Caenorhabditis elegans: one gene and its partner. The protein of the gene in region 2 purifies or fractionates together with the protein of the main gene of each other region. This does not show direct contact. Each region holds a gene or a part of one and is shown on either strand. Other genes may lie near its edges.

The links. The genes of interacting proteins can lie anywhere in the genome.
Region 1: the proteins of ZK1010.12 (region 2) and AH9.6 fractionate together in Caenorhabditis elegans (co-fractionation; one large-scale study listed by BioGRID). This does not show direct contact.

Annotation. Positions count from the first base shown.
Region 1 is NC_003284.9:2,266,474-2,270,228, forward strand, and holds the start of AH9.6 (uncharacterized protein), read right to left. Parts: upstream 1,666-3,755; 5' UTR 1,573-1,665; coding exon 1,453-1,572; intron 1-1,452.
Region 2 is NC_003281.10:12,989,263-12,993,017, reverse strand, and holds ZK1010.12 (Secretory peptide), read right to left. Parts: upstream 1,722-3,755; coding exon 1,627-1,721; intron 919-1,626; coding exon 804-918; intron 760-803; coding exon 609-759; exon of another isoform or gene 558-608; coding exon 526-557; downstream 1-525. Other genes in the region: col-97 (Nematode cuticle collagen N-terminal domain-containing protein), read left to right, coding at 1-82, 148-338.

The DNA of each region.
Region 1 (3,755 bases), on a different chromosome or scaffold from region 2:
CCTTCCTCACATATGCATAACATATTCTGTCGGGTTTTGAGTACGTAGTGACTTTTTTCATGAATATATGCTTGACAAGTGTTTCACATGGCTCGCATCAACTAAAATGGATGTGGTGGTCGTTTCTTTCCTTTTCACAATAAAATATGATGGAAGACGTCAAATAAATACATGTGTATGTATATATCATTTTTTTTGAGTCGCGTGCCTTTTTGTCTGCATAACTTTTTTTTTTGGTCTACAGAGATGAGCTGACAATTTGGAGGAGAATCAAAATTACTCCTATGCTAAAAATACATTTCAGGTTTTTTCTATAAATCTCAAGAAGTTTAGGGAGTTTGCAAAATGTTTTTGACAATTTTGACAATTGTTGATTTCAGATCAAACTCTTCTTTTCACAAAGTTTTTCGGCTCCTCAGTCCTTCAAAAAAAAATTGTGAACTTTTTGCGACACAATAAACGAGGGTCCTTGAGCAACCTGGAAGGAAGCATAAGCAGAAGAAAGGCAGGGAGGGGGGACACAATTTCTTTTTTGTTGTCGCCGAGGAATTTCCTTTTCTTCTATTTGTGGTTTTCAATACAAAAGAGAAAAGGAGTTTGAGTTTTTCGGCTTTCACAAATTGCGTTTACGGGGCGGCGAGACGATGTTGTTCACCTTGTGGTTTCCAAAGGAGACCACAAGAATGACTAATGTCGTTCACGCAGTTCACCGGGTAGGTCTTGACTTTAAAATTTGAGTGTCAAATTTTGAATCACAAGTCAAAAGTTCGAAACTATGGGGTTTCCTCCCTCTAGTGCACAATTAAATCTCTGAAAAAAAAACTCGAAATTCGTCATTCTTCCGGATATCGCCAGAGTAAATCTAAGACTACGGACACAAAAAAAACAACGATTGTCTTTCACTTGATTGGTTTCATAAGGATGAGCAAATGCTCAATATGCAAATAGAAAAAAAAAGCACGACGTCTTCGTCTTTTCCACGCGGCTTTCCTTTCTCATCCTTCTTCCTCGACGAGTTTTGGAGGGCCGTTCAACTTTTCGCAAAGTATATAGAAAAAGGAGAAAGGAGGAGAAGTATAGTGGAAAAAAGTAGGATACGGCGCAGAAAAAATATATATATATATATATAAACAATAAAGCAATACTGAGCAGCAAAAAATAATTGGGTTTCTAATTGCAAGGTTTACGAACGCTTGAGTGATTTGTGGGGCACATGGAACGAAGGCTACCCCTCCTAGGGCAAAACAGAGGGAATGTATAATTTATCTTATTTTTGCATTTTCAGAACGAACAATGCTAATTATTTTTCCTTTTTTCTCATTCTTCCTACCTCAGTTTTTCTAGAAAAGAAATTGGAAATTTGAAGCTAAAGCTTTTTTGGTTCTTAAAAGTTGAGGGGAGATTTTAAAGTTCAGCAAATAAAAAAATAAAACATGAAAAAGTTGAACTCACAAAACTAGGTTCGGTGATCGGAGATGGGAAGTTGCATGGTGAAAATATGGGAGGCACAGGAATCTGACCCCCTTGGGCATAGACCGTCAGAAGGCAGATGACGAGTAGCTTGCGCATCATATTGCCATGAGAGTTAGGACATTGTGTGCTCCACACCAATAATATGCTCTGCCAAAAACGACGACGGCGGCGGCGACCGACTGATTCACCAAAACCCGAGGAGTTGCTCTCTGTGTGCTTCGCCCGACGACGGTCGTGTCCGAAGCGCGCGCAGGCAGCGCCGCCAATGCGCTCCGCCCACTTTGGCGCCGACTGAGGAGGCTAGGAGACATTGGGCAATAGGAAAACGGGGGGAAGCTTATAGTAGTGAACACTGGACTTGAAAACATTTCTCCCAAGGGGTACGCCACACACTAAGAGAATTCACGATTAACGTACGTACAAACATTCTATTTCGATACTTGTTCTTGCTCTTGTCCTTGTTCTCAGTGACAAGTCCAGGTTGCTTAATTGAGTTTTTTTCTTAGAGAAGTGCGTCTTTCCTTTCCTTTTTTCATTTTCTTCATACTTCGCACTTTTTATAGCTAGAGACCAAGTTTTTGGAAGTGATGTATTGGGTAGTAATAAAGTTGAGTACTCATGAATATTAATGGAAAGACGAGTTAATGATTGTAAATATTTCTGACGCGAAAACACAAGATCTTTCAGAAAAGGAGTGATCTATCTTCCAAATACAGGGATTCAGTTTTTTTGGTACCTGTCTCAGAAATTTTTTTCAATTTCCACTCACCTGATAATTTAATCAAAATGGGAAATTGATTTGCATTCTCAGGTTAAGAAAACACTAATACTAAAACTAAAAAATTACGTTGAATTTTAAAAATGATAAACATATTTGGTGCAGGTTTACCTTGAAAGTACCTACATTCATTCAGTATCACAAATAAATTCTCGAGGTATTCCATTCAAAATTTGTAGAAGTCAAGATCCCAAAGTAGTGTTTCAAATATTTACTCAAATTTCACCCCATATACTGAGAATGTTGAATTATTCATTACTGTGTACTCTCTCTCTCTCACGCCTAGAATTTCAGAAATGTTTCTGCAGTTTTTTGGACAAAACCGAATCAAATTTTATCTGGTCCATTTATTTTTTTCCATGCTTCAATTTTATTTTAAAAAGTGAAAACTCACTTGGCAACACACTATACGTCATCTCATCTAAAGCTTCATTTGAGACGGGCGTTGCCTAGTCTTCCCGAGGGAGATCTCAAGAAAATGTGCTCTCTGAAAGATTGCAACTCGCGCTGCTGTTGAATTTCATAACTCACGGGGAGGGCACCTGCAAATAAAGTGCATTTGAAAAAGCACGCTTGTGATTAGGAACCAGATGTAGTTGTGCTCTCTTCCAATTCTCAAGTGTAATTCAATCCAGCACGGAGGTAAAGGTACTCCATGTCATTTTAGAGCACTCTTCGCTTTTATTGGCGTGTCTCTGATGCACTTACTACAAACCACAAAGCACCAACGAAATTCAAGAGGGGACGGAAGTCAGGCTCGTACGCGTCTTCAAAAAAAAAATTCCGCAACGTAGTCTGTTCATCTCTTTTACACATACTCATTTTGACTCGTTCTAACTAAATCCAACGAAACACTTTTAGCTCCAGGTTTTTAGAAGCTTTGCAAGACAAAAAAAACCGGGCCGAAAAATAATTTCCTGTAAAGTCATTGTGCAGTCGGAGACTCCTAAAAGAAGGAAAGCAATTTTCCACAAGAAAACGACAAAGAAGCCACATTCACAATGAACCGAACCATTTATTGCTTTTGTAAGTACCAACTAATGTTAACTCGATATTAACTTTACGATAACACAGCAGTAGTGGAAAACAGGAAATTTGGAGGAAATTTCCGAAGAAAATTTTTTGAAGGGAATAAGCAGAGGTAAACGTTTTTCGTTCAATGACTTTATTATTTCAAACGACGGGAACACATTTTCCATCATCTTCGGAGCAAAGAGGGTTATTAAAATGCACGTTTTGTTACAATAAAATAAATAATTCAAAATGAAACTCGGAAAATGTTTCATTCATTGTGATTTTGAGGATAAATTTTGTAAAGTTATAAAACATTGAATTTTTCCGTTTAATTAAAGGCGGAGTGCGGAAGTATCATGGTACAACTTTTCAGAACAAAAATTGGAGAATTTTTATTTTAAGTCAAAAAATGGCGAAAACGGAGTTTGCGCCACTTCTCGAAATATCTAAAGCACTGGCGCATGTTTGAACCCCAACATTGCTAAAATAT
Region 2 (3,755 bases):
TCCACTCCAGCTCTGCCAGGAGATCCAGGAGCACCAGGAGAACCGGGACCATCTGGACTTCCAGGAGATCAAGGACAAGCTGGTAAGTATTAAATATCAATTTTATAAGGTTCAATATCATCAAAAAAATTTTGTTTTTTTTTTCAGGCCGTCCAGGATCCGACGGTGCGCCAGGACCACAAGGACCACCAGGTCCACCAGGCCAACAAGGTCATCCAGGACAAGCCGGACCAGCTGGCCAACCAGGACAGCCAGGACCACAAGGAGAACGTGGAATCTGTCCAAAGTATTGCGCCTTGGACGGAGGTGTCTTCTTCGAGGACGGAACACGTCGTTAAGATCGTTAAGATCCGATCACTCATTAACTTATCTCTTCGTGGTTTCCCACCCACGCCTCTTCTTTGCCTTCAGAGTTCGGGTAAATCCGTGCTGTCTTTTCTCGTTTCTTTTCAACTGTATTTGTACATTTATGAAGAATTTGCAACTTCGTATATAAAATCTAGTCGTTTATAGAATTTAAAAAAATCAATTATTTTTCGGCTTGTTATGGAGAGTTTCTGAAAAGTATCATATGTAGGTATTTTGAAACTTTACAATAAAGAACTTACTAACGAAATTGTGCAAATCAGTCATTGGTAAGTTGGAATCAGGTGTTCCGTCGTACTTTTTGTACGGGTAGATCATTCCACGATCCTTCCATTTTGAGAGCATGCTCAGCACAACTACACCAGTTGAATAGTGAGCACAAAGCCCGAAAATCTATAAATCTGGAGTAGTTACTTAGAAGTAAGAAGGACGCTTACCCGACAGAAAACATTATTCTTCGGGCTGACTTCTTGGAATTTCAAATTATTTTTCCACTCGACGATTCGATTTCGTGGGCCTGTTGGGATGGGCTCTTCCACTGGCTTTTTGGGTCTGAAAATATCCAGAGTTTGACCAAAAAATACATGAATGGTTGCACCTTTTTCCTAGAGTTTTCCAAACCTTCCAGAACTTTTTTTAAAAGTTTCCAGAAATTGCTGTCTAGAATGTTTTTTATTCTGCCAAATTTTTTCCCGAAAAATTTAAAATCCCGCCAAACTTTTTTTGAGGACAATTTCAAATGAAATCCCTTGAAATTTGTCTCTGATAAAATTTCAATTTCCGCCAAACTGTTTCCCAGAAAATTAGAACCCCTCCAAAATTTCTCTCAAAAAATTTGAACTCCCGCCAAAATTTTTCCCAAAAAATTTGAAATCCCGCCAGGCTTTTTCCCGAAAAATGTGAAATCCCTCGGAATTTTTTACTCGGAAATATTCAACCTCGTCAAAATTTCTCTCCAAAAAAAAAATCAATTACCGCCAAAATTTTTCTTAGAAGATTGAAATTTCAGTATTTTTCTAAAACTACAGTAATCCTAAAGTACCCCAACCCTATCCCTCCATTGAGCTCAACCCAATATCCTTTCAAAAAAATATGTTTACCTCAAACTACAGTAACCCTACAGTACTCTTACAGTACCCCAACCCTATCCCTTCACTGAGCTCAACCCAATATCCTTTCAAAATAAAAAATCTGTTTACCCAAAACTACAGTAATCCTACAGCATCCCTATAAGGATATATATTTTCAGAGTGTGCTCACCTGAACTGTGGTAAATCAGCCTTGGTCCAAATCTTTTTCGCATCAGCAGACAGCAAAATAACTATAACAAATACGAAGAAATTCGGAAAAATCATGACAGCTGACAATTATTAAAATTTGATTTAAACTGTTGAAAATGAAAATGTTGAAGTGTTTTGAAGGGAACACACGAAGTGGCATTGTCCAATAAACAGGTATTTTTGTGACCTTTTCCGATACTTTAAAGTAAAAACACAAAGGTTCAAACAAATAATATTCATTTAAATCAATAAATTAATCAATTAAATTGCATAATAACAGTCCTTCTTCCAGAAATTAATTCCGCAGACCAATCCGAAAATGAGAAAAGTGGTAGGGATAATGGTGTATAGAGCAATCCAGAGAGGTCCATAGAAGTTCAACGGTTCAGGTGTGAACTGAAAAAAATATTTTTTTGAGGATTTTTTTGACTATTACGGGAACACAAAATTCAGTCAAAAAAATTCAAAAATTCGCCGCGCAAAATTGTGTGCGCCTTTAAAAAAATTCGTTACCACAGTAACGAATTTCCAAGTTTTTTTAAAAGATTTTTTGCACTTTTCTATGGATCTTAAGCCATTTTTGTGTATTACGGAAACAAAAAATTCAGTGAATGCGTATTGCACAACATATTTGACGCGCAAAATATCTTGTAACGAAAACTACAGTAATTTTTTAAATGGCTACTGTAGTGTTTATTTACGAAAATTGAGCCCGTAAATCGACACAAGAGCTACAGTAGCGGCAAACGATCTTTGCCGGAATTAAAAATTTCTGGCAAATCGGCAAACCGGCAAATTGCTGGAATTGAAAATTTACTGCAAATCGGCAAACCGGCTAATTACCGATTTGCCGTATTTGCCGAACAATTTTCGACAAATTGTGGTTTTGCACCTTTTTTTTGGGAATTTCAGAATTTCATTTCCAAATGGCAAAACGCATCCTATGAATGTTCTTTCATCTATTTTGAAAAGTAAGCAAATTCTATGAAAATATCTAGAAAAAAAATCGAAAATGAATATCTCCGGCATATCGGCAAACCGGCAATTTGCCGGAATTAAACACTTCCGGCAAATCGGCAAACCGGCAATTTGCCGATTTGCCGACTTTGTCGATAAATCAATTTGCCGAACGGCAATTGCCGCCCACCCCCCATTTTTTGTAGATCTACGTAGATCAAACCGAAATGGGGCACAGTGTGGTTGCACAGAAACTGTTACTGGAACACAAAATTTTGAGAATGCGTATTGCGCAACATATTTGACGCGCAAAATATCTCGTAGCGAAAATTACAGTAACGGAAATATTTTATTAATCGATTAAATATTGAAAGAAAAAACAAAAATGACAAAAAACACAACAAAAAAATTCAAAAGAAAATTGAGTATTGCTGTCACAATTTGAGCAGAAATTGAAATTAATTTCAAAAATCAAGCCCGTAAATCGACACCAGAGCTACAATAGTCATTTAAAGAGTTACTGTAGTTGTCGCTGCGAGATATTTTGAGCGTCAAATATGTTGTGCAATACGCATTCTTAGAATTTTGTGTTCCCGCTTTACATATTCACGACTATACACTCTACTAGAATTTTTTTCTAGAATTTTTGAATTTTTTACATTATTTTTTAGTTCAATTATGGCTTTAAAATCAGAAATCAGAAATAATAATACAACATACCATAGGATCCACAAAGCAAGTGCCAACTGAATTAGTGAATACACATACAGATGTACTTGAGCAGTCCCTGAAAAAATCCAATTTTCAATCAAAAAATAATCAGACTTTTACCGGTTACTCCCACAATATCTCTCTGTGTCAATGTTATCCGACCCATCTGCCATATACATTCCAAGAATTGCTAATCGATTAGTGTCACGTGTGCAAAACGTGTAGCGGAATGGCGGAGCCTCGTAGGGACTGCATTTTCGATTTGTATAATAGGGTCTTATTCGGCGGGCTACTGTAGATCCGTGGACTTTGTCTGAAATATAGTTTCCAGTGTGGAAAGTTTTAAAAGATATTTTTAAAGATAATTTTCCGGCAAACCGGTAAATTGCCGGAATAGAATTTTCCGGCAAATTGACAATTTGCCGAAAACTACATACGCCT